Pelodiscus sinensis: one gene and its partners. The protein of the gene in region 4 interacts with the protein of the main gene of each other region in a biochemical or structural test. Links are inferred from orthologs where the notes say so. Each region holds a gene or a part of one and is shown on either strand. Other genes may lie near its edges. The genes, in order: RXRA, IKBKB, DPF2 and RELA.

What was found.
Region 1: the proteins of RELA (region 4) and RXRA form a complex in vitro, tested with the Homo sapiens proteins (2 studies listed by BioGRID). The link is inferred for Pelodiscus sinensis from reciprocal best matches to the Homo sapiens genes RELA and RXRA.
Region 2: of the proteins of RELA (region 4) and IKBKB, one has a biochemical effect on the other in vitro, tested with the Homo sapiens proteins (4 studies listed by BioGRID and IntAct). The link is inferred for Pelodiscus sinensis from reciprocal best matches to the Homo sapiens genes RELA and IKBKB.
Region 3: the proteins of RELA (region 4) and DPF2 form a complex in vitro, tested with the Homo sapiens proteins (2 studies listed by BioGRID). The link is inferred for Pelodiscus sinensis from reciprocal best matches to the Homo sapiens genes RELA and DPF2.

The regions. Positions count from the first base shown.
Region 1 is NC_134732.1:18,238,529-18,245,931, forward strand, and holds the start of RXRA (retinoic acid receptor RXR-alpha), read left to right. Parts: upstream 1-4,390; 5' UTR 4,391-4,716; coding exon 4,717-4,744; intron 4,745-5,446; exon of another isoform or gene 5,447-7,403. UniProt on the Homo sapiens protein: Receptor for retinoic acid that acts as a transcription factor.
Region 2 is NW_027465860.1:407,409-415,413, forward strand, and holds the start of IKBKB (inhibitor of nuclear factor kappa-B kinase subunit beta), read right to left. Parts: upstream 3,007-8,005; 5' UTR 2,862-3,006; coding exon 2,760-2,861; intron 2,453-2,759; exon of another isoform or gene 2,422-2,452; coding exon 2,327-2,421; exon of another isoform or gene 2,313-2,326; intron 1-2,312.
Region 3 is NC_134721.1:34,379,267-34,386,199, reverse strand, and holds the start of DPF2 (zinc finger protein ubi-d4), read left to right. Parts: upstream 1-3,912; 5' UTR 3,913-3,927; coding exon 3,928-4,302; intron 4,303-5,487; coding exon 5,488-5,609; intron 5,610-6,933. UniProt on the Homo sapiens protein: Plays an active role in transcriptional regulation by binding modified histones H3 and H4. Is a negative regulator of myeloid differentiation of hematopoietic progenitor cells. Might also have a role in the development and maturation of lymphoid cells.
Region 4 is NC_134721.1:32,635,340-32,642,393, reverse strand, and holds the start of RELA (transcription factor p65), read left to right. Parts: upstream 1-4,048; 5' UTR 4,049-6,216; coding exon 6,217-6,232; intron 6,233-7,054. Other genes in the region: histone acetyltransferase KAT5, read right to left, coding at 2,280-2,346, 2,427-2,438. UniProt on the Homo sapiens protein: NF-kappa-B is a pleiotropic transcription factor present in almost all cell types and is the endpoint of a series of signal transduction events that are initiated by a vast array of stimuli related to many biological processes such as inflammation, immunity, differentiation, cell growth, tumorigenesis and apoptosis.

The DNA of each region.
Region 1 (7,403 bases), on a different chromosome or scaffold from region 4:
CTTGCAAATGAAGCCCAGGATTTGAATTTCCCGGGCTTCATTTGCATAAGCGGGGCGCCGCCATTTTTAAAACCCCGCTCGTTTGAACCCCGTGCAGCGCGGCTACACGGGGCACGAACTAGGTAGTTCGAACTAGGCTTCCATGAGGAGTAACGGTAGTTCGAACTAGGAAGCCTAGTTCAAACTACCTAGTTCGTGCCCCGTGTAGCCGCGCTGCACGGGGTTCGAACCAGCGGGGTTTTAAAAATGGCGGCTCCCCGCTTATGCAAATGAAGCCCGGGAAATTCAAATCCCGGGCTTCATTTGCAAGTGCGGTATGCCTACATTACCCCGCTAGTTCGAACTAGCGGGGTAGTGTAGACATACCCACAGAGCAGAATTTGGCTCCATCTACACACTCATGTACATTTAACTCGCTCATTCCAAGGAGAGAGGTTTTCTGGCAATATTCCCTCTAATTTTTTCCATCTATGTGCAGATTGTTTCCATCCATGTGTGAAATAAGTTTTTCTACATGCACCCAGACACATGAAAATGTGCACCACCAGTAGAAATAAAACCTAGCGGTGAGTGGTCTGCTAATCAGTTGGGTGGCATTTGAATCTCTCCTGTGTACCCACACAAGTGCTCAGCTTACAGGAAACACTGTTCGCTGGCCCTGTAAATGAATACATCCCGTTAGATTTGTGCATTGAAAATCAATTGATTATAGTTCATTTCAGATTTGCTGAAGCTGATGTTTGCCCTTGCATTGTTGGATGTCACACATATGCATGTATTACATGTCTGACTTCCACACCGCTGCAAGGTAGCGAGAAAAGCTGGATCTGCTCCCCTCTAATAAGCCCACTCCCATTTGTTAGGATTTTTTTCCAGGCGTTAATATAACAAACTCAGCCATAAAAATTGACTGGGAGATGAAACGTGACATGCAAGGTCCTAGCCTGGGAGCAAATGATGTTACCAGTTATAAATGCACGCACACCAATCTGGTTGGACATGCTTAACTTACGGAGCAAAGGAGAAAAAGGAGGATGCTGTTCTATTTTGTTTTTATGTCTACATCTCCTAATGAGCGTCAGGCTTCAGTGAGGCCATCCTTCTGGCATTTTTCATTCCTTTTGCAACATGTATCTGTGCAAGGGGCATAAAGGGGGCCCTGTTCTGTTCGCAGTACCAGAGCTTGTTCCAACAGAGATCAATGTTCTCTCTAATTTTTTTCCATCCATGTGCAGAATAATTTTTTATGTGCACCAAGGCATGTGCAGATGTGCACCTAGGGTTGCCAGGTGTCTGGTATTGAACCGGAAAGTCCGTTATTTTCGCCTCCTGTCTGGTAAAAAAAGTTCAGAAAATACCAGACATCTGAAATATTGGATACTTTCTGATTTTTTCCCGGCCAGGAGGCGAAAATCCCAGGCTTAATACAGAGGCAGTCTGGCAACCCTAGTGCTTACCGGGTTCTGCAGGGTAGCTGTCCGGCCCGGCGCAGGGAAGCAAGACGGCAGAAGGCCGCCAGCAGCCAGTTAGGGCCAAAAAGCCTCACCACATAGATTTTAAAGGGGCCAGGGTTTTTTTTTTCTCGACAAACTTTTTCCTGGTGGTTTTTTTTGTTTTGTTTGGTATTTTTTCTGAAACCATCTGGCAACCCTATGTGCACCACCAATATAAACATATGTTGCTGACTGTGGGCGTTCTGCTAATCAACTGGGCAGTATTTGAATCTCTCCTGGATGGCTGTCCTAGAGCACAGCTAACAGGGAACATGGATGGGGTCCTGGGTATGAGCAGCAGTTTGCCTCTCTAGTAGCCCTAGAGGTGTAATCACAAGCAAGTCCTGCCCTTTGGATAGAAAGGAGGGTAAGTGCCTGTCCCCTGACACACAGGCATGCTCAAAAGTTTGCAGGAGGAGCTGTTAGCCTGATAAATTACTCTAGACTTTCTCTAGCCTTGTCTAGAAGGGCTCGGATACCACAATGATGGGCACAAGATAGACAGACAGACATGCCCTGGCAGCAGCAACCATCCACGTGCGCCTTTTCCTAATTTTAGACTAACAATTTCATCTATCCCTCCAAAAACTCAAGGCCTGTTCCTCAATGCCTCCCACCCCCACAGTCCTTGTTCCCACGGGTACTCCCTTCTTCTTCAATGGGACTGGTCAAGAGTTGCCCTATTGGGATTCCCTGGTGTCCTACTGGGATTGCTCTGGAAAATTGTCGCCCAAAGGCACCTGAGTTCATACAGCCTCATGATCAGTCTAACACCACACCAGACTCCCTGAGCTATCATGGCAGCTGTTCCAGGCCTTGTCCCCACAGTCGGAGTGCAACTCCAGCTCACAAACCTGCCGGTTACACATGCTATGGTTGTCCAGACTGCGGGTGGGTAAGATGCTAACTTTGCTTCCCACACCGTCCAGCCTTTCCGGTCCATCAAGTTACAAATGCGTATTCTCGACAGGGCTGAGCACCATTTCTCAAAGCTGGAAACACCCCGGTGTGCTGGGCACGTTGCACAGACCGTTCAAACCAGAAGACGGTCCGGGGAGGAGCAGGGGGTTGCACCCGCGAGGCCGTGGGGGTGACACGTGGGCATGTGAGCTCTCAGGGAAGTCGCACGCCAAGTTACTGACTTGTATCTTTTTTATAGGAAATGAACTAAATCCTGTTTCAGTTGCAGGAGGGTCAGACGAGACCAGGGCTGAGACACGGCATGGGGGCTGGATCCGTCCCACCAGGTGCAGCCCGTGGCTATAGGCAGACTCGGCCACCGCTTAGGGCACCGCCGCCCGGGACGCCCAATGATGACGTCACAGGGGCGCCCACCAATGACGTCAGTCCATTCACGGCCCTGCAGGCGGGGGCACTGATCGTGCGTTCCGCCTGGGGCACCAGCTGCCACAGCCGGCCTCGGGCTGCTCCTGTGTCCCACCTGACACTTTCATCCACCCCTGGACAGCATCTGGCCACTTTCTATTGATATGCTGTTGCCAGTGCCACTGAATTTTCAGGCGGTGGCTCAGGCAGCAGGATCCTATTTAAATGGTTCATGACTTCACGTCGCGGCAGGGACCAGAGCTGCGAGTCCTTTAAATAGCCACAGCAATCCCAGGCAGCTGCCAGGCAATGCGGTAGCAGCAGGACCACGAGTCCCGAGCCCTTTGCTGTGTTTTTAATTCAAAGCCTTCAGCCCCAGACAACTTGGGGAGGGAGGGGGGAGGAGGCTAGTCCCTAGACCCGCTCCTTGCGCTCCAGGCCCCGCCCCTTCTTGGGGGAGGAGGTGGGCGGCGACCACATACCAAAATTCATTAAGTGGTCCCCCGCCATCGCCCACCCCTGGATTAGAGGATCAAGCCTGACCCTTCTGACCTAAAGGTCTGTAAGACACCAGAGAAAAGGGAAGAGCCACTTGGAGTCAGAATTCGCCCGTGGCTCAGGTTGCCAGGTGTCCGCTTTTGAACTGGACAGTCCAGTATTTGAGCTTTCTGCTCGGGACACAAATTGAGACAATAGAAATGAGAAAATAGAACTGTCCGGTATTTTCTAAATAAGACGGAATGTAGATTGTGATGTCATATCAAGTGTGTCCGGTATTTTTGTTGAAACCATCTGGCAACCCTACTCGCGGCTCTTTCCAGAGCGACACAAGTTCCTTCGTGCCTCCTTAAATTTGCATTTGGTGACTCGTGTCAGTTACCTAGACGGGGGTTTTGTAACATGTGTCTGTGGTAAATTGATGGATCATTCCAACACGTGATAGGCAGGCCAGCAGATCTAGCCTATTTATCCACCCACCAATTTTCCCTCTAAGGCAGAGAGACTTTCGCAGCCAGGAATAGGAACATTCCAGCCTCCCAGGACATTAATTCCTGAGGCAGCTTTGGAAAATCTCAGCCTAACGGGCCCCATCTTCCCTCTTCTACTCTCAGAAGTAATTCCTTTCTTTTTCCTGGCTCTGCTCAGCCGCCTTCCCTGTAAGTCCCCCACTTACAAAAGTTTTACGACTTGGACCAGTCCTTCTACCACCCATGAAAGCCCCCCCAAAGTACTGAATGGCATCACTTCAGCAAGAGCCCTGACGGGGTACCACTCCCACCTGCATCCTCAATTACCTTTACCTGTGAAGCTCTGAGATGGGCCTTTTCCCCTGCATGTGCTCTTAACCTGTATCGTCCCATGGCGCCCTGCAGCGTGATTTGCATGCAATTTCCCTATGCTCGTTCGGATCCTAAGCCAGCTTCTGAAAGCAGCCCCCTCTTCAAAGCCACCCGCCTCCCCCTCCCGGCCGCCCTCGAGAAAACTAGTTGGTGCAGGCTCCCAGCTGGCCGTGCCGTCGCTGCGACCAGGTTGGCCCTCCCGCTCCCCCTTGGCTGGGTCCCCTTTGCATTGCAGCTCCTGTAGTTGGAATAGAGAGACACAGAGACACAAGTACTTTAGTTACATTGTTGGGTGAGTTTGAAACAACTCCCCCTGCCTCGGGCTTACACACACTGTGACTGGATTTCCTATTCCACCCGCTCCGGTGCTGCGTGCCTTCTGCTGCTGCTTATTTTTAAATCAATGCAAAGCTGCGGGCTTTGATTTTTTTTCCCTCCCCCCTCTTTTTTTTTTACACCCCCCTCCCTTCTCTCGTTTGCTTTGATTTCTGCGCGCGCGTGTGTTTTGCCTCCACCGATCTTCAACAAATCGTTTGGGCATGAGTTAAACACCCGATATGGACACCAAACATTTCCTGCCACTGGGTGAGTTTTGTTGCAAAGGGTTCTCCGCGCAGACGGCGCTAGATATTCGGATTGAAATGCTATGGCTTGCTGGGGGAGGGCGGGGGCAGAGGGCAAGCGTGCAAAGGACAGACGATCGGCCGGGAGAAGTGGAGCAGGGCGGGGGTGTGGAGGGGGGGGGCATGAAAAAGTGGCTTTATTGCAACGCGGATGGTTTGATCCGGGACACCCCCTATGCCCCCTTTTCCACGAACCATTGCAGGAAGTCAGGCTGGCTGGAGAAAGCTTGTTTCGTGCATGGACTGGGAGGCATTGCTGGGGGGGGACGCTGCAGCGCGGGGACTTGTTTGTCAGTTTCGCCGCCTGCCCTAGACAGCGCCGATCCCTTGTGGATTTGGCCTGTTCCCTCTTGGCGAGTCCCAATTTTGGTAGATGCGCGTCTGGATTATTATTTTTTTTTGTTTGTTTTCTCCCTTCCCCTGCAACGTGTCGAGCGAGCGTCATTGTGTTTTGCAGATGGAGACCACAGATCAAACTACTGTTGAGGAAGGAGGGAAGGGGGGGGGGTTGATTTTTTTGAAAGTGCTGCGAGCTTTGGGCTGGAAATACGTGCGCGCTGCTTCGTGGCCGGAGGGTTGGGGAGAGGGCCCGGGATGGGCCGCGGCGTGGGGGGGGGGGGGGGGTCGCGGGGAGGAAAAGAAGGGAGCTCGGACACGCTGGAGACATTTTTTTTGCGCGGGGCGGGGGTTGGGGGGCGCAAAATGCGCGCGCGCGCAAGAGCGAGCGAGATCCGCTAAGGGACTTGGCACGGCGGCGAGCGCTATTTTCAAACGTGGGACTCGCAGCCAGGCACTCAAAAAAGAATTAAAAGTTTGCTCTTCGAGTGGCCCCGATCGTCAGGCACAGAACCCCCGTCCCTGGTCCACTGACCTAGACAAAAGCAATTCTGGAATGGAAACGGGGTGTTAAGTGAGATTTTGAAGGGTGCGCCCACTCCGGACAGGTCTTGGTTTGTTTTGCACAACCGGCTTTGGCTGTGCCTTGCATTGCTCTGAATGCTCTGTTTTATTCCTGGAGCAGTGGCTGACATGTGGCAAAACCCCTTTGCTTTGTATTTATGTACTTGTTTGTTTGTTTCCTTCTCCTCTCCCCCCCTTCTCCAGCCCTTGCCTTCCTCTGTAGGCATTTGCCGTGTGCAGTCTGGCAGAGATAAATGTAATTGCTGGGGTTAAAGGTGCCTGCCTGTAATACATTGACCGCCAAGTGTTGATCCAAAAGATGTATTTCAGGGGCATCTTTCTTCTTTTTCCAGAAAGAGGTGTCACCCCAGACAGGTTCTGTGTTGGCTCTTTGGGTTTGTTTTATTGTGTTTTCAATTCCCCCCCCCCCTCCCAGCGTGACTTTGCCAACCTTTCAGTAAGGGAATCAAGTCTTGGCTTGAAAGGGGAAAAGCTTCCTTGTCTCTTGATTTCCAAAAAGTGCCGTTGTTTTGCGCTTACCCTACAGGCCAGCGTTTAAAATCCAACAAATCTGGGAGAATAACTGTGAGCAACAAGGGGCAGGAAAATTCGCAGCTCAGATAAAGGGCCCAATCCTGCTGTCACTGAGATCCCAGGCAAGATCAGTCGCTAAATTCCATCTCCCCTTTTTACCCCGGTATATTGGTGGGGGGCTAAGGCTGGCCAGACATGCGACATGAGTTACAGACTTGTAGCCCGTGGCAGGACAGGAAGAGCAGCCTGCTAGTGCTAGCCTGAACTCTGACGTCCCTTGGTTTTGCTTGGTTCCTTCATATCAGTGCACTAAACCCCTTTTAAAAGAGTGGTGGTTTTCATTCATGCAGAGTCCATTTTTTTAATGGCCGAATAAACAACAGCAACAAAAAAAATGCACCTTCCCAAATGGACACCAAAGAGTTTCTGTGACTTCAGCAGCGGTGCCTGTGCTCAGTCCTGGGTCCCTTGGACATGAGACGGTCCTAAAAACCATTGTGGTTTTATTGCCACATGCAATTGATTTTGATGGGAGATGAAAAGGCCCCCAAAGTGCTCAAGTGGTTTTTCCAAGTGGAAATCTCTCCTCTGCCGCTTGACACTCACAACATCTTTTTTTTTTTCAGTCTAACGGATTTATTTTTTATTGCCGTTATTTCGGGTGGCTCAAACAAAAACATCGGAAGCCGTTAAAAATCATGTTCTGCCGACTGCTGCGTCGCTGTATCTCTGCCTTCCCCACCAAATGCCTTAATTTTATTTGCAGCTTTGTACTTTATTCACGCTTTACACTGGGAACAACGTAGGCACTGAAGACAAAGGCAAAACCTCCCCTGACTTCCTAAATCTTATACTTGGGGGTTCGACAGTACCTGAGGTATTTTGATGGCTGGGCACTATATACATTTAACCAAATGTAGCATTAACAGACATTTGATCTTGGGGAGACGAAATGTGCATATCCAGGCTGATAAAGGATTTTTTCCTGGGTGCAAATGAAGAAAAAAAAAAGCTGATTTAAAACTCATTTATAAACGATGGGAGCAGGGCCTGGTTTGCTTCTGTGGAAATTTGCAACACACATTTCAGCCCATCAGGAGCTGAAGCATTCGGAGGAGAGCAGCAGTGTTAGCGTAACACATCCACGGACCCCGAAGGGGAGAAAATAAAAACAAGCCGTGACTGCC
Region 2 (8,005 bases), on a different chromosome or scaffold from region 4:
AATGGTTGGGGACCACTGGGGTAAGGAATAGTGTCCCTAGCCTCTGTTTGTCAGAGGATGGAGATGGCTGGCAGGAGAGACGTGGTTTGATCATTATCTGTTCAGTTCACTCCCTCTGGGACACCTGGCATTGTCCACTGTCGGCAGACAGGATACTGGGCTGGATGGACCTTTGGTCTGACCCAGTGTGGCCGTTCTTATCTGAAAGATTACCTGGTTAACCGGTGGGGTCTGGCACACTCCCCCCCCCCCCCCCCCGCTCCAGTCCCACAGGGGGCCCACCATGGACTAAGGATGTCAAATTGCGGTTAATTTACTGGTCGAGTAGTCAATCGAATTTCTATCAACTAGTCAACAGGCACTTCTGCATTCCTACTTTGAAATGTACAAGAGTCCCCAGAGGGGGCCCCTGTGCATTTCAAAGCAGCAGTGCAGCATGGAGTCTGGGGTCCCCCGCTGACCCTGGGCTCCATGCTGCTGATTTGAAATGCCATGCAGAGCCCAGGGTCAGCTGGGAAATCCCCAGCTGACCAAGGGTTCCATCCGGCACTTCCCCAGAACCCAAGGTCAGCCAGGGATCAACTGTGAGGTGCTGCCCCTTGAAGCACCCCCTCTTCCCTCCTCCCTTTTGCTGCGGAAGCAAGGGGGGGGGATCAACTAGTCAACTAACTATCCGATAAGCAAATGCTTATCGGATAATCAACTAGTCTTTAACATCCTTACCGTGGACAGGAGCTGCTCTCATCCAGAGAAACCCCTGTCCACAGGAAGCCCCAGCCCCAAACTTCCTGGGTGGCTGGAGAGTGTAGGCAGTTTTGGGAAGGCCTTTCCTGCATTACGCATGGGTAAGAAGTTGCATGTAACAAGTTTCTTAGCAGATTAGAACTAGCTGTATGCTTTTTATTCATCTGATGAAGGGGGTTTTGCCCATGAAAGCTCATGATACTGTGTATTTTTTGTTAGTCTCTAAAATGCCACAGGATTACTCAATTTTAAAGTTACAGACTAATAGGGCTGCCCCTCTGAGACTTTTCATTTTAATTTAGTAACTTACTTTGATATGTTTTCACTTGCAGCCACTTAGTAAGTACAGAAAGTAGCATGTAAACAAAAGTGTTTTTTTATTATCAGGCCCAGTGTAAATAATTGCTACTTGGGGGGAGCAAACCACTATGTGTATCTCTCTCTCTCTCTCATTGAATAAAGAGGGTTAACATCCTTGTGAGCTTTCACAGAATCCTAGAGCTGGAAGAGACCTCAGGAGGTCATCAAGACCAGCTCCCTGCCCAAGGCAAGCTCAATCCTAACTAAATCAACCCAGCCAGGGCTTTGTCAAGCCAAGACTTAAAAACCACTAGAGATGGAGATTCCACCACCTCCCTAGGGAGCCCATTCCAATGCTTCACCACCCTCCTAGGGAAATAGTTTTTCCCAGCTTTGGGGAGGGATAGCTGGTGGTTTGAGCATTGGCCTGCTAAACCCAGGGTTGTGAGTTCAATCCTTGTAGAGGCCATGTAAGGATTTGGGGCAAATAGTCATCAGTGATGGTACTTGGTCCTGCTGTGAAGGTAGGGGACTGGACTCAATGACCTCCCTTCCAGTTCTAGGAGATAGGCAATCTCCATTAATTTTTTAATATCCCACCTAGACCTCCCACATTGTAACTGGAGGCCATTGCTCCTTGTTCTGTCATCCATCACTACTCTTTGGAACCTCCCTTCAGGAAGTTGAAGGCTGCTATCAAATCCCCCCTTGCTCTTCGCTTCTGCAGACTAAGCTTTCCTTGTGTAAAACTTTTACACTCAGGAAGACAGCTCTATTCGGAGTTTTGATCCCTTTTGGAGTGGTAGTTTCTTGGGTGCTGAGTTGCAGAATTGAGTCCTCCCAGAGCTGACGTGGTTCAGTGTCTGCATTCTTCTGCAGGGGAGCAGTTACCCCAACTCTTTGCCTTGTCGGAAGGAGACGGGAGGATTTGGCCCAGCAGGACAGGGTGGTGGGGAGCCCCAGAGAGCAAGAGGGGGCATCAGTGGCATGATCAGCTCATGGGGACCTATATGAGGGGGACTTCTCTGATCACGCCCCATCACAATAGCATAAGCACCTTTGTTTTCCCACTGTCTCTGCAGAAGCAGCAGCAAATTACTCATCTTTATTTCCAATGAAACAAACAGAAGGGGTAAATAAAAGGCGGCAGCACCGACTCCTAGCAGAACAGATCCCGTCTGGGGAGCAGTCCGTGGAGTCAGACTTCCACTTCCGAGTGCTTGAGAGCGGCTCCCCCGCCCCCCGCCCCCCGCACTCAGACTGCGGGCCGGGGCAGGCTCACCTCTTCATGATCTGTATCTCCAGACACCACCGCTCGCGGTTCCGCAGGCTCAGCTCCTGCCGACACTGTTTGATCGCGATCTGCTCGCCGCTCTCCTGCAGGCAGAGGGGACAGGCCGGGCGGGCGGTGAGAGGCGAGGGGAGGTGCCGCCGCACGGGCGGGGGGCCGGGGATGCCAGGGGCGGCGCGGGGGGGCCGGGGGTGCCGGGGGCGGCGCGGGGGGGCCGGGGATGCCAGGGGCGGCCCGGGGGGGGCCGGGGGTGCCGGGGGCGGCGCGGGGGGGCCGGGGATGCCAGGGGCGGCCCGGGGGGGGGCCGGGGGCGGCGCGGGGGGGGGGCCGGGGGCGGCGCGGGGGGGGGGCCGGGGATGCCGGGGGCGGCCCGGGGGGTGCCGGGGGCGGCCCGGGGGGGCCCGGGGGCCGGCGGGCGCGGTACCTTGTTGTGCCACCGGAGGACGTTGCCGAAGCCGCCCGTGCCGAGCCGCTCCTTCATCTCCCAGGGCCCGCAGGCCGGGCTCTGCAGCGGGGCCCGGCTCATGCTGCGGGGCTGGGGCTGCCCGGCGCTTCCGGCTCGGCGGCCCCGGGAACAGGCCGCGCGCGCCCCTGGCGGCAGCAGGCTCCGGCTCCCCGGGCCCGCGATGCGTCACGTGCCTGGCCCCGCCCCGGCGCCCTCGGCGCGTTCTGGGTCCGCGGGGCAGGCGGCAGCTCGCAGCGCTGCGGCGAGAGCCCGGCCCGCACCGAGCGCTCGCCCCGAACAAGCCTCGCTCCGCCGCCCCGCGGGGCAGGGGGTGGGACTGGCTCTTCCCCGGGACGCTGCTTATGCAGCATCAGGCCCTACTGAACTGGAGGCCTGGGTACCACAGATCATACTGAGCAGGGCCGGTGCGTTGAGTCTCAATGCCTGGATGAGATGATGGTGTAGAGAGGAGGGGTTTAGATTTATTAGGAACTGGGGAAACTTTTGGGATAGGGGGAGCCTATACAGGAAGGATGGGCTCCCCCAAAACCTAGATGGAACCAGATTGCTGGCACTTAACATTAAAAAGTTTGTAGAACAGTTTTTAAACTAAGGGCTGGGGGGAAGCTGACGGTGCAGAAGAGCACATGGATCAGACAGAGACATCGCTTAGGGGAGGGGCTGTTAATAGAGATTCTCTGTGTTCTAGTCAGGAACAGAAGATGGAAGTATGGGTCAGATCAGAAGAACACATCAGGAAATGGCAGACAAAGAGTGACAAATGTTTAAAGTGCTTATACACAAATGCTAGAAGTCTAAATAATAAGGTGATGAACTAGAGTGCATCATTTTAAAGGAGGATATTGATATAATAGGCATCCTGGAAACTTGGTGGAATGAGGACAATCAATGGGACAGTCATACCAGGGTACAAAATATATCGGAAGGACAGAGCAGGTCACCTGGTGGAGGAGCGGCACTATACATGAAAGAAAATGTAGAATCAAATGAAGTAAAAAACTTAAATGAACCAAAATGTTTCATAGAATCTCTATGGCAGTCTTCTTCTTTCGAATGCCGTGGTCAACACTGTATTTCTTCATCAAAGTTGGACGTCCATGCTCTCCAGCCAGTGAACAGAGTCACTGGTTAGATTGTGGAGAGCCTCCAATGAGCCAGTGAATTTTTGCGTTGGGTATTCTGCAACTAGCCAATTAGCCCATCATAAAACGGGATTTTCAGGTCTGTCCTCCACATACTATTCCCTTTCTATCTCAGTCTTCTCTCCTGAGCCACCAGTCTCTCACTCCATCTCTCTTTCTCCCCCCTCCTCCTACTGCCTCCCCCCTCTCTCTCTCAGCTCTCCTCTGTCTCCTGCCTCTCTCTCCGTCTCTCTTTCTCTTCTTCCCCTCTTGCCTCTCACTCTCTTTCTCTTCTCCCCTTGCTACCTCTCATTCTCTCTTCTCCTCCTCCTCCTGCCTCTCACTCTCTCTTTCTTTTCTCTTCCTCCTGCATGGGGAGCACGGAGCCCAAATGGCTGTTTGCGCCACTTGCTCCTGTGAGGCAGCCCAGCTGCCTATGAGCTCCAGCTGCCCCCCTGCACCGTTTCCCTTCACCCCAACACTGATCCTCCAGCCTCCAGTTGTCCTCCACCTCCCCCTCGTTCCCCGAGGAGTAACGGCAGTTCGAATTAGATAGCCTAATTAGGCTAATTAGGCTCTCTAATTCGAACTACCTACTCCATGCCGTGTGTAGCCGCGGGCACGGAGTCCGCACTAAGGGGGATTTAAAAATGGCGATGCCTGGCAAGATGCAGATGAAGCCCAGGATATTTAAATCCCGGGCTTCATTTGCAACTTTGAATGCCTACATTAGCCACTCTAGTTTGAACTAGGGTGGCAGTGTAGACATACCCTAGATTACTATTCATAGAATCATAGAATTGGAAGGGACCTCAAGAGCCAGTCCCCTGCCCTCAGGCAGGACTAAACACTATCTAAATCATCCCTGACAGGTGTCTGTCTAACCTGCTCATAAATATCTCCAGTGGTGGAGATTCCACAACCCCCCTGGGCAATTTATTCCAGTGTTTAGCCACCCTGACAGGTAGGAACTTTTTCCTAATGTCCAACCTAAACCTCCCTTACTGCAATTTAAGCCCCTTGCTTCTTGACCTATCATCAGAGCTCAAGGAGAACAATTTTTCTCCCTCCTCCTTGTAACACCCTTTTAGATACTTGAAAACTGCTCTCATGTTCCCTCTCAGCCTTCTCTTTTCTAAACTAAACAAGCCCAATTCTTTCAGTCTTCCCTCCTAGGTCATGTTCTCTAGACTTTTAATCATTTTTCTTTCTCTTCTCTGGACCCTCTCCAATTTCTCCACATCTTGTTTCCACTGACTGTTAGTGGATGGAAGGGTCTAGCATTGAACATTCTGATCTGAAGCAATTTGAACCAGCTGTTATCATTGCCTTGGCAGCATCCACATTAAATCTTAAAGCACAGCAGTAGCCCCACGTTCTCAGGAATAGGCCCACACGTGGGATCTCCAAGTTCACCAAATGGGTCAGGCTCAACCTGATCTAGATCAGAAGCAGGTATAACCCCCACACTTAGTAAGGTTCACTGTCCCATAGTGGTTCTTAGACCACTTACAGCAAGAGTGAAGAACAAGGGCGCTCTACAACCTAAGCCGAGAGCCCGGTGGTTTTATAGCTCAAATTGTAGACACTAAGGGTATGTCTAAACTACATGCCTCCGTCGACGGAGGCATGTAGATTAGCCAGATCGGCAGAGGGAAATGAAGCCGCGATTAAAATAATCGCGGCTTCATTTAAATTTAAATGGCTGCCCCGCTCTGCCGATCAGCTGTTTGTCGGCAGATCGGGGCAGTCTGGACGCGACGCGCCGACAAAGAAGCCTTTCTTGATCGGCACAGGTATGCCTCGTGAAACCAGGTTTACCTGTGCCGATCAAGAAAGGCTTCTTTGTCGGCGCGGCGCGTCCAGACTGCCCCGATCTGCCAACAAACAGCTGATCGGCAGAGCGGGGCAGCCATTTAAATTTAAATGAAGCTGCAATTATTTTAATCGCGGCTTCATTTCCCTCTGCCGATCTGGCTAATCTACATGCCTCCGTCGACGGAGGCATGTAGTCTAGACACACCCTAAGCTCCTGAGATCCCAGATTCAAATCTGCCTGCTGTCAGTTACAAGTGGGCTTCTTTTAACTTTGTCAGAAATCTCATTGTCTTCCATCATCTCTTTGGCTTGTGCTCGCCAAGTAGGATAATCTTCTCCATTGTCAGCTTCTGCTGTCCAAGGAGATAGTGAATTCCAAATGGTACCAATGCCATTTGAGGTACAGCCTAGGAGCCAGCTACCCGATCAACACCTAGAGTGAAAGTGCAAATGCCTAAGATATTAATGGGAAAATATGTCTACGGGGATGGAAGTGGCAGAGTGGATTTTCTCAGGAGGGATGGGTCCAACCTGCAGGCTCAGGAGAGAGCACATTACTGTAACTTTGCATTTCCTCTGACATACAATGGGCTGGAAATTCCCCAAGGAGTGTAAGATTTACTAATTATTTACCAGACATTTCAGCAATCTGGTATGACCCTTGTCCAAAGCGCCTTTTAATAGCCTGATATGTTGTTCCCTTCTGGACACTAGGGATGTGAACGTGTAGACACACAGGTTCTTTACTGAGAATGGATACATTCCACAGACCCAAAATACTCCGTCCCAACCAGAGAAGGTTCTGAGAGACACTCTTTATGGAAGGCAGTGAGGGCCCACTGGGCCCAGCACATCTCAGGGTCAGACCTTTGCAAATTTAAGATTCACATTTCACTTGAACAGGAGTCAGGAAATTCACACTTAAGGTTCCAGTATCAACAGGAACATGGCCCCCTTGTTTGTATGTATTACAAAAGCCTCTTTAAAGAACACACAACACTGGGCAATGGGCCCTGTCAGCTGACAAGAAACAGCATAATACAAAGGAAATTTCTATAAAGGAAACTGAAAATATGCAAGGTCGTAATCAGAGCCGGCCCAAGCTATGGGCAGACCGGGCCCTAGCCCAGGGCATGTGATTGTAAGGGGCACCGCGCGGTGCTGCCAGGCCAGCCGGGGGCAGGGGCGGGGCCCCGGGCACAATTATAATGTCTGCCCAGGGCACGAAGAATGGCTCCGGCCGGCATTGGTCATAATGCACAGCAAGGTGGGCGTTTTACCAGAGCTGCCAGAGAAGGGACAAGTAGGGAAGCAAGGGTATTGCAGCATGGAAAGGCTTTTGAGCAAAGCTCTCCCTGAGCAAAAAGGACCCAGCTCCGTCTATCTGCTGACAATGTTAGAAATGTGGCCATGGGATGTTGACAATGGGAGGCAGAAAAAAGTTTGACTGGTTTTCACTTTTGTCGCCAAACCTTCCCAGTGTAGACACAGCCTAAATGTGCTTTGACTGGTCCTTACCTAGCCTGACAGTCACTGATAAAAGTGAAGCTCTCTCACCCCAGCATGCATGAGTCTTTCTGTAACTCCCAATGGCTTGTTACCACTCCATGATGCAACTCTCAGACGCACAGAGATTCATTAGTTATTGGCACATTAATCTTGGAAATCTGCATTTCTTTAATCACAAAACGTCCTTTCCTGAAAGAAACCTAACACACAGTGTTTTGTCTCAGCCGCTCTCTTCGTCATCATGGCTGATGTTGGAGTTATCTGATTGGCAGAAGGGGTGTACGCCAGGGACAGGGAATGTGAAAGACAACAGTTACCACACAAAGACAGAGGTGAGCTGAAGCTGGGAAATTAGCTAAAATGTTAGAACCTGTTTATTGTGTGTTTGGGAAACAGCTGGTCCATCCCTCATCTCTGCGTGTTGTTTCTTACGGCAGTTGAGATAAGTGCCCTGTTGCACTTCCTACGTTGGCAGACTTACCATCCACTCAGTAACAGGGGCAGGCTGTGCTGAGCTGAAGAGGTGAGGAAGAGAGGTCTGTGTGGTACATAACTAAGGAGCTGCATCACTGCCAAGAACAAGCCAAAGTGCACAGGGAAAACCAAACAAACTTGATGTGCACAGAGAGTAGAAAGAAACCAGCTAAAGGGGCAGCCCGTAGAAACCCTGCTCAGCTCTGGGGCAGCTCTGATCCTAGCCCCAAAAAGAGGCAGTGAAACTGCCCCATGTGGCCCTACAGAGAACTCAGCTCTGCG
Region 3 (6,933 bases), about 1.7 Mb from region 4:
GCTTGGGCGTAGCCTGGGCTTTGTGAAGTGGGAAAGTACCAGAGCCTGGGCTCTGCCCCAAACACCTCTCAAAGAAGTGGGTTGTGCCCACAAAAGCTCATGATACCATCTATAAAATGCTGCAGGACTATTCGTTGTTTTTAAGAGGGGTTTTTTTTCGGTTACAGACTAAAACGGCTACCCCTCTGAAACCATGACATTTCAACAGCCCCATAGCTTGTGTCAGCTGCCAGCTATGGTTGTCTAACTGCAGTGTAGACTTGGTGAGTAATGTCAAAGCACCATTTTCCCCCAATGGGAAATACTTTGAGATGCTTGCATGACAACACTCCAGGCAGACAAAGGATCATTATCGGTCACCATGTTCTGCCCTGGCAGACACTCTGGTCTGTGTCCCAGCAGCTATACTGAGCAGCATCTTTGCTGCAGCAGATGGCACCCGTATTTTGTAACAACACAAGCAATGGGATAGGTGCTCCTGCGACTTCCTTTGGCAGCCCTGTAAATTATTGGTTTGGATAGAGAGACAAATTCACAGCACAGATAATCTCGTTTACAGGCTTTTATTTTAAATTATCTGTCTGGCTGGATGGGCAGTGTGAGAAAACAATCAGCATTTGTAACAAATGTTTAATTGGACAGAGTGGCTGATATAAACCTCACAGGAACCTCCAAAGTGTTTTTTGCACTGTGTGAGTCTGCCAACATGTAGAAACCCAGCAAGACACAGTACCTTGGGACTGTGTGGAGTGTCTGTTTGCCAACTTTCTGATGCCTTTATCGCTTCAGAAAAGTGTCACGTTTGCCAGGAGTAAAACAAACAGCATCTTCTCCTTGGAGTGATTTGTGGCCCTGCATAAATAAATGTGGTTTGGGGCTTTTTAGAGGTAATGTTTTCAAGAATTGAACTAGGAGGGTTAGAAATGTCCTTTTAAAAAAATGAAATGTGAGAGTCTTGTGTAATCACATGACTAGAGAAATAGGCTTTAAGGAAAACATCCCATTTTTCAAGTTTTGCAATAAAATTATTAAGAGCTGGCAGCTCTCAGTGACCCTGATTCTAGTGTCCACATTTTAAAAAGGAAGTTGGAATATTGGAGAAGGTCCAGAAAAGAGGCGCACAACTGATTTGAGGGCTATAGACACTTCCTGCCAAGGAGAGACTGAAAGAACTCAATGCGTTTATCAAAAAGGTGGCTTGATTACAGTGTGACATAGGTAGGAAACATCAGAGTACCAAGTGGCTTCTTAGCCAAGCTGAAAAGGCAGAACAAGAACCAATGGCTGGAAGCTCAAGTCAAACAAACTCAAATTAGAAATTAGGCACAATTAACCACAAAAGGTGATTGGAACAAAGTCCAGGACCGGATTGAGCAGGGGGGCTAGCTGGGCAGCTGCCTGGGGTGCCAACCTTTGGGGGGCACCTGATTGAAGTGGTAAGGGGTGCGGTGCGCCCGGGGGTGTGGCCGCGCATGTGCCGCTCGCCTGGGAGCACGACGCCCCTTACCATGTCAATTAGGTGACTCGTGCCCGGGGGTAGGGCGCGCGTGTGCCGCGCACCTGCTGCCCGGGGCGCAAGTATGGCTCGGTCTGGCACTGACAAAGTCCCATGGGATGTGTCTGCAAATCCAGACTGGATGCCTTTCGAGAAGATGGCGTATAGCCTCTTAAATTATGCTTTAGTCAAAAACCAGATCCTGGGCTCACCGCAGGAGTAGGTGAGGGACATTGACTGGCCTGTGATGTACAGGAGGTCAGACTGAAACTCTATGAATTTATGAAAATTCCAGTGTAGATGTTTAGGGTCTCCAGGTGTCCGGTTTTAAACCGGACAGTCCAGTATTTGAGCTTTCTGTTTGGGAAACAAATTGAGAGAATATAAATGAGAAAATATAAATGTCCAGTATTTTCTAAATAAGATGTAATGTAGATTGTGATGTAATGTCAAGTGTGTCCGATATTTTTGTTGAAACCATCTGGCAACTCTGTAGATGTTACATTTTTCTTCTGTTCATCTTCTTCTAGTCCATCCATTTTGTACACCTCTGTTTTCCTCTAATAACCTAACGTGTTGCTAATGACAAAAAGTAAGAACATTCTTCTTAAAATCCTCAACTAAAGTAGATCAGACGCCATTGGCCTGAATTATAATTTACAGCAACTAAGGATCTGGTACAGAGTTTTAATCTCCCAGCCCTGGTCTACATTAGGGAGTTACTTAGAAATAACTCTTCTTATTTTGAAATAATAAGTGGAGCGTTCACGCTATTAAGTCCGTTATTTTGAAATAAGTCTGGTTATTTTGAAATACTAACTCCTGCTTTCCATGAGGATTGATGCTTATTTCAAAATAGATATTTCGAAATAGCAGTAGGGACGCTCCACTGTTGCTATTTTGAAATATCTACTTCCCAGTCATTCAAAGTAATTATTCCCCAGTGCTTCGTGGGCCTCTAAGTCAAGGTAGCACATCCACATTAACGGAGCCTGCCTCGGACTAATTTTGAGGCTTCCTCATAGCGTGGACATGCTATTTCGAAATTATTATTTTGGGAGTTTAATTTGAAATAACTTATTTTGAAATAATTTCCTATTGTAGACATGCCCCCAGAGCCTCTGTTAGGCCTACACAAGAAGAAATCTCATAGGGCTAGTTCAACGGTTTATCCAAATGGGTGCATCACCAAACCTTTATCAGTGCATCTTCTTTATGCAGATAAACTGTTTAATGCTGATGAAGATGGAGATACAATATGAGTTTTTAATGTAAATAAATACTCAGGCTATTTCCAGCTGGGGTTGGCAAAGGCTCAACTTAAATACAATCTTTCGAGCAGCTTGTCCAGTGAAAGTTGGCCGAGAAATTACAGAGATGTCAGGCATACTGATTTATACTTTTTATTTAGCTAGATGACTAATTTGCTTAGCTCTGTGCACTGGATCCCTAGAGAATCCATGCACTCTGGGTCTGATCCAAAGCCTCTTGAAGTCAATGGAAACACTCAGCAGGCATATTGGGTCAAGCACTTCATGCATAAACCATGCATTTTGTTCTTTGAGACTCAGCACTTTTTATGCTGTGGCAATCTGTGCATTTTGTTAACTGAGGGTGCATGCATTTTGCAGTGTTGAAAAACTCTTGTGATTTGTTCACGATTCTTGTGATTTTGGTGGTTTCCCTAAAGTCACATTGACTGGAATCAAGAGAATGCGTGAGAATCTCAGCTTCCATTAAGAAGAATAAAAGGTAAGTGTCTAACCCTAATGGCTGTAGAGAAGTTGGAAATGAGAGCATCTGAAATATTCAGAATGCAGAAGGTAAATTTTAAAAAAATTGCAATTAATTTTTAAAAGAATCTCATGATTTTCAAGACAGTCTCATAATTCTGACTCTCAAATTTCTGAACACCTAAGTGATTTAGGAGCAGAAGTGACATTGAATGGCAATGGGACTGTGTTCCTAAATTACTTAGGGACCTCTTAAAGTCCATCTCTTACCCACAAGCCATGCATTTCATACACAGGGACTCCATACTCTTGTACAGAGTTTAGGCACAGGGCCAATCTTTTCCCTTAATTCCCAGGGGATCTGCCTTTTATGTACAGAAATTGAAATTCTTTTGGGAAGAATTTTCAAAGGCATCTAAATCACTTAGCAGCAAAGTCCCATTGACGTTCAACAGGATGCATGCTCCTAAGTCACTTATGAGCTTTTGAAAATTGTATCTTTTATCTAGGCATCTTATTCACGCTCTCTCCACGCCTTTTTATCCAGAGACGATCTATGGATACTATGCACAGATAAACCATGCTCCTTAGATATACGGAAAACTAGCCTTCAATCCCAGGAGGAAGCTCCTACATTTCCTCTTGCATCTTGTGCACGATCCGTCCCCGTGGACGCCGGGGGCACTGGTCATTCTAGGCATGCAGCTGACGCCGCCCTCTGAGAATGCGGGAAAGAGGAGGGCAAGTTTCACCACTAAACAGTCCGCCCCCGTTTGCAGCCCTTTCTGGACGGGCAGCCCAAAGCCTGCCCTAGCGCGCTCCACGAATCAGTCTGCCCGCTCGCTGGGGCTGGCTCGTGCACTTGGCCCGGGGAGGAGTTTGCAGGCCGCTTCTCCGGCGGGCTGCAGTGCAGCTCTAGCATTGGCCCGCGCGGCAGCGCGGAGGAGGGGGGGCAGCCCTTGGTGCGCTGGCTCGAGGAGCAGGGTGGGGAAGGAAGAGCCCGGCTGCCGCTCACTCGGTCGCTGGCTGCAGCTCGGAGCAGGAGTCCCCCCGCCAGCGCCGCCGGGGCAGAGGGTGAGCCGGGAAGGGGGGGGGGGTAGGGAGTGGCTGCGCGGGGCGGTCGGTGCTTGGCGGTGCCGCCTAACCCACCGCAGCAGTTTCACTTGCCAAGGAGCTCGAAGCTGGCGGAGAGTCGGGACTCCTGGGTTCTGCTCCCGAGGCGCGAGTCGGGTCAGGACGCTTGGGCTCCGGTCTCTCTCGTGAGAGGGGAGTGGGGTCGAGCGGTTAGAGCAGAGTGGGGCTGGGAGGCAGGACTCCTGGGTTCCTTTCCCGTCTGTGGGAGGCAGGACAGGCACTGCAATGGCTCCCTGGGGTGGGGGCGGGGGTGTGGTAGTGGCATATTTTCCTTTGCCTCAGTTTCCCTGTTTGTCAGGGTGCGACCATGAGGCCCAGAATGTTTGAGCGTTGTTTTCAGTACCTAGAAAGCGTCAGAGTCTTAGCTCTGGGGGCCAGGAGGGCAGCCTTTTCCTGCTCTGCAGGCTGGTCGCTGCTACCACTTTTCTTCCTTGTTGAAGGCAGCGGGCTTGGCACTGAAATGGGATCCCCTCCTGTCTCATTCCAGCTGTTCACTGCCAGGGGATTTGATTCCAAGGGTGTGTGTGTGAAATCTGTAATCAGTAAAACTTGTGAAGTTGGCTCTTTGGGCTTGCAACAAGAGGGATGGGGGGAAATTAATGCTCTCACATTTTAAACCAAGCTGTGGGTGTCTGGAACTGCCTTTTACATTTGGAGCTGGACTTCAGGGTATCATTTACCCATCATCGTCTATATAAAGCTCTGCTGGTCCCCAGGAGGGTTTGTTTTACACCTATATTATATGTCTCCATCTAGCACTATCTACATCTGGCACCATCTACATCCAGCAACATGTCTTACATAATTTTAGAAACCAACTGTGAAGTTTATAATTAACTATCTTTAGAATATCTTTGGCAAACTGAGATGCTTGAATAGATGTCATGTTCCAGATGAGGGGATAAAGGGCTGATTCTTACATTAGACCTCTTGACACCAGCAGAGCAATAAGAGCCTTGGGGTAAATGAGAAGCAGGCAGGGTATGGCGATAGCTGGGTAACCACACAGATGTTCCACTTAGTTCTTTCTATGTAAATCTAGAGTAATTCCATGGGACCCCATTTACTCTTTTGTTCCTGAGAGCAGAATCTAGCCCAATGTAAGAATATTGAAATTACCATCAGGTCCAGGATCCTGCCTCTACATTGCCCAGTTCCTGCTGCTTCAGGGGAAGATGCAAGAAATTTGTAGAAGACAAATATGAGGTTACTTGGCCCAAAGGGAAACTTCCATCTCACCCCAAAAGGTAGGTCAAAGTACCTGGATCAACCCAGACAGCTGTTTTTGTCATCTGCTCTTAAAAATCTGCAGTGGTGGAGATTCCTTAGTTTCCCTGGGTCATTTATTCCAATGCTTAACTAATGTGACAGGAAGTTTTTCCTAATGTCCAATTTAAACCACTCTTGCTGCCATTTAAGCCCACTACCTCTTTTAAAGTATTTGTTACATTATTATTTATATTTCAGTAGCAACTTGAGACCCTAACAGAGAATGGGATCCTACTGTGCCTGGCACTGTACAGACAGATATTGACCCTGCTCCAAAAAGTATACCATGTAAACCCACAGAGCAGATAAAAGGTGTTAGTGGAAACAGTGAACTGGCAAAGGGAGGGGAAGAGCCTAGAACCCATTTTTTTCTGATGCTCAGCCACATCTTAGCCACTAACCTGCATTACTTTCTTCTTACAGGAGCTTCAGGGGGTAGCTGAGTTAGTTTGTTACAGAAGAAAACAACAAATGGTCTGGTAGCACTTTATAGACATGTTTTGTTAGTCTGTAAAATGCTACCAAACCATTTGTTGTTTTCTTCTTACAGTTAGACTCGTTTTATGGGTTCAGAAGTTTGGTCCTACCTTTACCTTCTTTAGTTTCCCCCGTGTTCTTGGATGATTCTCTCCTCTCCAACTGGCCAAGGCAAGGAGCAAGTTCAAATGCTGCACGGTGTCACTGGCGTTCTGTAACTTAGCCAGCAGCAGGTGCTTGCCATAGGAATACCTGCCACTAGCCTGACTTTGCACTGCCTGGCACCTAGATATCGCAGGTATGCTGGCACATTATTGGCTACTAACAAAGCTAATATCTTGGGCGTCCTGGAATAAAGAACTTCTTAAGGTTGGCCTTGCTCCCAAAGCCCATCTGCTTTGCTATGCCAATCCCTCCCCATCGCACTGTGCTGCTAGGCTAATATGGTCTCTCGTGGCATTTTTGTAACTGCAGGTTGAACCTCTCTAGTCCGGCACCTCTCTGTTCCGGCAGCATCCGTGATCTGGGATGATTTTAGTTAGCCCCGTGTTCACTTATCATGGGTGTGTGGCTAAGTTTCCCACGGTCCCATAAAGTTTGTTTACGGCCACCACAGTCCTGGCTTCCAGTGTTCTGTGCTGTTACTTAGCTCTAATTTACTCTTAAATGTCTTCTAGAGCCCAGTAAGCAGTGGAATTGTTGGTAATGCTGCTAGACAATATTGTCCTCTGATGATCAGGCAAATTCTCTGGTTTGGCACCAGTCAGATCGCAACGGTGCTGGACTAGAGAGGTTCAACCTGTAATGATCTGTCAGAGAAGGGTA
Region 4 (7,054 bases):
AAAAGATGGCTGGACGACGCTACATGGGAAAAAGATTCTTGACAACAGAGGGGTTGTTAATGCAGCAGATAAAGCTAGAAGTTGATCCAACTGCTGGATATTCAGGCTAGAAATGACTTGGAAATGCATCTTTAAATCAAGATTAGACATCTCTTTCTAAAAGCTTCACTCTAGCTCAACTCCCAGATCTGTGCTCAATGCAGGAATGTCGGAGATGGAGTCTCAGGCTTAGGTAATGCTGGTGATCAGACTGGATGGTCAATCCTTTTTGGCCTTGGTCTCTATAAACTCTGCATTCTGGTTTGATCTCCCAGGTGAACAAGAATTTAGCAGAATTAGATGGGGGGGGGGGGTCCACGATTCAGAGACGGCACCAGGGTGGGGATGGGGGAAGAGGAACTCTCCTAGAAAAATAAGTTATTGGGATTGTCTGGTTTACAGAGCAGATGAAGAAATGACACATGATAAAAGTATATAGAAAAATGACAGGGATAGAGAATGGGGATGGGCACATCATTTCCATGTCTTGTAGCATAACTGCAATGAAAATTTCAAGAACACTTCAAAACCAATCAAACAACATTCTTTTTCATGTAATACACCACCAGCCTCTGGAACTCACTGGCACTTGACACAGTTAAGTGCAGGATCTCAAAGGAGACTGGAAGCTCATAAGGAGGAGACCATCGAGGGTCAACCCGAAAAAAAGAACAGGAGTTTTGGAAACCTCCCATTTCAAAAGTTAAGCTATCTTCTAAGTATTGGGGGAACCCACCTCCTATCAGGTTATTCCAAAACAATGTAAAAGTTTTTACACGTTCCACTGAAACACTCAGCTGCATGTAACCCAGGTCTGATCTAGTGTGGCAATTAATTCCTATGGCTGTGGTATTGTTTAAGTGGGAACACTTTGAAGAGTATAAATTAAGAATACCCTCTACCAAATCTAGCAGGTGAAATCTCTGCAGAACTTGGGAGGGTGACAATATAGACATATGAGAGATTATTATTTCAATAAAGTGCGTATAGAAAAATACATGATGTTTGCACTAGAATGAGGCATTTTTCATACTAGAGATTTTTTCTCCAACTCTGGCAGTGTTTCAGTAGAACCAACATTTTCTGGGTCAGGAGGTCTCTCCTCTGTGCCTAGCACTGCAGAGTGAGAAAAAATCCTTGCTCACAAGAGCTCACTCCCCAAGTATATTTGAGAGATATACTGGGAGAGAAAAATGCACAAAAATGTACCTTTATATTTGTAGGTACCAAGGGCCACACTCGCAGATCAGCACATCCCTGCAACATGTGTCCACACCAAGGCCAAACTTGATCCTCAATACAGTTATATAGATACCGGAGATCATTCTGATTCTGGGGCAGTGCCCTGGGTATTATCCAGAACAGTGTTTCTCAATCGGTGGTACAAGTATCCTCAGAGGTACTCAAGAGAAGTTTGGGGGTAGATCAACAACTGAAATTTGGAGAAAACTGATTTTTTAAAAAAGTTTTACAGCACTTTATTATTTTTGTATTTTTTACACCCAAAAATTTCATCGCCAGCTAAGCTACGATTAAATTATTTAAACAAATGTGTTGCAATGGTAGAAAACATTGCATGTCTGAAAACTGTAGGTACTCAAGGTACTTATGGTTTTTTTTTTTTTTTTTTAAAGGGGCTACCTTATACAAAAAAAGGTTGAGAAACACTGATCCAGAGTCTCTCCCACCCAAAGTGTGACAGCTCTCGCCTTCAAATGCTGCCCTGGGATCCTTGACCATGACCTGAAATGGAAGGGATTATCCCACAGCTTTGGGGCACTCCCTTTAACCAGGAGATGAGTTGGCAGTTCCAAAATGACAGGCTAACATTTCCCTCCCTAGGGAACCTAAGATGCATCCCAAAAGCATGGCAAGCACTAGAGATGACCAATCATTCCTACAATCTGGGTTCAAAGCCTCTAAAAGGAAAGAGATGCCCAGCTCCACGTGCTTACTGCCCCCCTCACATTCCCTGTTTCCCCCTTTCATAAATGATGCAGCCTTATCCCTTTTTCCAACTGAGGTCCCCCATTGGCCGATTCTTCTATCCTCTGCATTGGGCCCATTTCCTCCTATACACTGGTCTCTTCATTAGCCTTCTGAGACTCCCGCCCGTCCTCCCTTTCCACACGGCCCCGTGTCCCTACGTCTCCCAAGATATCCCCCGTGCCTCTCATATACCCTCTAGCCCCTCCTCTTTAAATCCCACCCCCATCATTTAGCCCCACCCCCTCACTTACGCCATTCATCTTCGTTATCCTGGTTGCGACGCAGCACGGGCAGCCGGCAGCCCTCGGTCACCTCTCCCTGCGGGCGGGATGCAGAACAGTTAAACAGGAACCCACAGGAATCCCCCCGCCGGACCCCACCCTACACATCCCACTCACCACCTCCGCCATCTTGAATGCTCGCCGGCGAGCGGGGTCTTCTCTTCCGTTCCCCGTGCCGGGACGTTTCCGGGAACGCGTGGGGGCCCTTCCGGTCTGTTATAGCTACTTCCGGTCCACTCAGTATATGTTGCTAGCGTTCGGCCCTGCTCAGAATTACTTCCGGCAGCATGATTAACTCCTTCCGGTCCCAGCGAGGACCCGCTCCGGGGCTGTTCGTGGCGTTCGCCTGAATCGGAAAGGAATCTGAGGAGTTGGCGGGACCGCAGTTAGCGGGCGAAGCACGAATGGCGACAGCGGGAGATTGCCCCACGTACGTGCGCAGCTAGCTGGGCGCATGGGAGAAAATCATGTGACTCGGACGTGACGAGGCCTCTGGAGCGTTTAGCCTCACGAGGCCGGTTGAGGGCCCGGCAGCGTTTCGAGGGGTCCCCGAGATTCGGCTTCCCCATCGCCTTCCCTCCCTCCCAGTTTCTAAAACCGCAACCAAGTAGAGGGGGGGCCTTCAGTGGAGCCGCGTGACACGGGCCCCTGGAGCCCTGGGCCCGACAGCTGCTGGGGCCCACAGCCACCTAACTTGTAGTAGCCAGAGACTCGGAGCCAGGGCTCAGGAGTTCAAGCTTCTAACATGTCCACCTGCTTCCCAGCCCTTCCTTATTGACCTCGTATCGCTGCCGGGGCAGGCGAAAAGCACCCTTTCTGTGTCCAGGTAGGAAGCTTAAAGCAGAACTAGGACTAGAGCCCAGCTTTCTAAGTTGGTGTGGCAGCATCTGTCTCCATAGATTTCCAGTAGTTTGCTGTGGCACCACTTGCCTTGCCTCAATGACCCCAGGAATCTTTAATCTTCTTTTAGAGGGCTTTCTAGTTCTGTCTTGTAAATCACCCTCATATCAAGTTCTGACTTAAAGAGGCTGTTAATAGGTAGCCTTTTCTCTATGCTTGCCTAGGATCCCCATGTTGCAAGGTGCTGTAAAAACATAGAACCTGCCTCACAACCTATAAATCCAGAAATGACAGGTGGATACAGCCATGAACAATGAGACAATCTGGTCTGCATGCTGGGCAATGGGTTCACCACCAACAATCTACATGTCATGCTTTTTGAAGCATCCCATCAAAGGATAGTTTGAAGGAGCTCAATGAGATAGCTTTGCATGCACTTACAGGGAACTCATAAACATGAGTGATAGCATAGGAGAAAGGATGAAGAGGCTTAGTAGAAATATAATAAGTATGCAGTAGGGATGTGAGTGTGTATCCAAGTACACGATTAATCAATGAGTCTGGGCTCATTGCTTAACACTGTGTTACACGCCCCCCCCCCTGCTGCCTTTGACACATAGGCAACAGAGGGGGGGAGGAGCCAGCTTTTAAGATGGTTCCCATGTGTACCAGCTCCTGTCAAACCAACCTCCTCCCGCACTGTTGCCTCAGTGGGTGGGAGCTGGTATGTGCAGGTAGCCTAGCCTTCCCCCCCCCCCCCCCCCCGTACTGCTGCCTCCCACAGAGCGGTGGGGGATAAGGAGGAGGTGGGAGCTAGTGCTCACAGGAAGCCTCCTGCCCCCTGCATTGCTTCCTCTGATACAGAGGCAGCAGGGGCGGGGGGGGGGGGCAGTGGGAGGGAGGACAGGAGCTGCTGCTGACGACAGGGACCTGACTTAAAAACCAGCTCCTTGCCAGCACTGGCTTCCGCCTTCCTTCCCACTGCATGTAAATGTGTAGCCACTGGAAAATTCAATGGTTATAGATTTAAAATGTGTTTATTTGTGTAACATCCCTTTTAGGCAGTTAATGCTTGGCAGCATGGGCTGAAAATGAAAATGTATAGGTGCTGGAAGTCAGGGTGCTGCTGCACTCTTTGGCTTGAAGTGGTTTCCATTATGTTTGTGGCTTACAGTTTGGTTCAATGACTCTCAGCACCTTCTTGTAAAAACTGTTCCAGCAGCCCTGTAAGAGATGAGTCAGATGGGGATTGGCAATGGAGGGCCTTGAAAGGGAAGAGAAGCAGCTTAGACTGATACAGGAGAAAAGGGAGGGCCAAGGAAGGGAAGCAAAGAGAAGTATGTCATGCTCAAAGTGAGAGCCTGAAGAATGATATTTGCACCAGAAAGGAAATGAAGCACAATCTCTCCAAGGTTATGTCTACACTGGCGGGTTTTTGCGCAAGAACAGCCATCCTTCCGCAGAGCCTCCACACTGCTCGCCAGCTCTTACACAAGAAGATTTACAGTAAAGTGTGGTAAGAGAGGGCTTCTTGTGCAAGAACTATGCTCTTTTCTAACAAATGTAAGCTCTCTTGCGCAAGAGGGCAGTGCGGACGCCCAGCAGGGGTTTCTTGTGCAAGAAAGCCCTATAGCTAAAATGGCCATCAGAGCTTTCTTGAGCAAGACAGCGTCCACACTGCCATGGATGCTCTTGTGCAAAAGCACATGACAGTGTGGCCGTGTTCTTGTGCAAGAGTTCTAGCACAAGAATCCTTGTGCAAGATGTTCTTGTGCAAGAAGCTGCCAGTGTAGACATAGCCCAAGAATTTGCTGGGGGCAGAGGTAAGGTGATATGGTTGTGTCCTCTTTAAGGGAGGCAGCATGAGTTTATTAGCTAATGGTGCCTATGGTGTCCTATAAACAGGGAACAGAACAACAGTGTTGCTAAGAAATAGCCTTAATGGGCCACCTCTGGGATTTGAATCCCCAAAGGCAACTGCAGGGCCATTTATTCAACCATTTACTGCTGTGGACATTTGGCCTAAAAAACCCAATGGGGAGGCCACAGCAGCTGTAAGACACATGTTTCCTGGTTCCTTTGTGGCCTTCTCATAGCCTATAGGGCACTATAATGTCCATGCACAGCCCCATATGTAGCCTTGTATCACCCCCACTCTGGTCCCTGTATAATGCAGTAGGCCCTACCCTACTCGTAGTATGGTTTATGTCTCATGAATTGGTCCCTCTAGTCAAGGGCTCCATAATGGTCCCGTGTGTGATTCCTGAATGACCCCAGAGCACTCTTGGTTAGGTTCTTAATAGCCCCCACGTTCCCAGCTGCAACATGGCCCCGCCGCCTCTCTTGGCTTTGCAATTTGCCCTGGCTGCCTTCGTCGCTTCTGCGCCTGCGTGGAATCCCCCCCCCCGCGCTCGTTTGCATGAGGCGGGGCTTTCCCAGCAGCGGGGCGGATCACGTGCTGCGGGCATTTCCGCGTGCGGCGTAGTTTGCGAACGGATACGGCGGGTGCTGGACCCGATCCCGCCGGAGGACCCCGCGTGGACCACGCCCCTGGCCCCGCCCCTGACGCGGACCCCCGATTGGGCCCGGAGCACCGCTTCCGCCTAGGAACCCTTCGAGGGGCTGGACCCGCCCACGATTGGACTCGTCTCCCGCCCGGACAAGCTCCTCGGGACGCCCCACCAGCAGCCCTCTCCCGAGTGGGGCTGGGACACGGGGTCGGGATCCCCCTCCCGCCTAGGACCCGCACAGGAGCCACAATCCTCCCGTTCCCTCTCAGAATTCTCTCCGTTGGGGGCCTCGCCCCACAGAGGCCCCCATCCCCTTGGAGTCTAACCCCCCCCCCCCCCCGCCTGCCGTTGTACTGAGACACCCCCCCGAGCTCGCACACGTCCTTCTTGTGGACTGGGGTTTGTTTCCTGAGCCCCGCGCAGGAGCCCTCCCCAGCCTCGTATTCCCTGGATTCTTCTGGCTCCAAAGCTGGGAGCCCCCTTCCTTGACTCCCTCCAGCCAGGGAGCACCCACCGCAGTACCTCCTGTATTCCTAGCCTGGAACCTAGCCTGACTTATGGCAGAAATGGAAGGTAAGTGTATACGCTCACCCCAGCAATAGGGACTTTCCTCAAATTCAGGACCCCCATTTAACTCTGGGGTATCTCTTCTCCTTACCTTCATCTCTGGAGGGTTTGCATGAAATACTCATACAGCGAGTTACTGGGACAGTTGGATGTGTAAACGCAGTTGAGCTCATACAGATGTGAGTGTGGGGGGAGCACCCATTACTGGAGTGCTGGTTATGAATATGGGGGGCTTGAAGAGAAGCTGGGATTCCCCAGGAGTCTGGGTTTCCCCCACTTTGTCCCTTCTCCCCCCACCCCACCCATTATTTCCTCAACTGGGCCTCTGTTTTGTTTTGGAAAAGTATTGTGATGGTGGCTTGTGAAAACTGCTTCCTAGGCCTTGGTTGGCAGTGATTTCCCTGGTTGCTTTGGGGGTAAGGCAGGCACAGTGGATTTGGGATCTGAAATGTGGGAAAAGGAGAAGAGGGGGAATTGGTGTCTCTTAAGAAAGGCCAACACACTGGGAAAAACACAGGTGGCAGGATCCTTCAGACTGGAGGAAGGGCTGGGCTTGAGCTGACTGGACATTACACCATGGAAATGGCATCTCTGACTTGATGTTTTGGGCCTGTAACCATTAACACCTAGTTCTTATGTAGTGTGGCACTTTCCATATTATCCCATAACCCAGAGCTCTTCTGTCCCGCCACATCTGGGGCGGAAATACAGACACACAGTAAATTACTAAAACCGGAAGTGGTTTGTTTGTTATGTGTTTTAGACTTGAGGAACTCAATTTGTTTAGCCTAACAAAGAGAAGGGGTGATTTGATCAGACTATGGATAA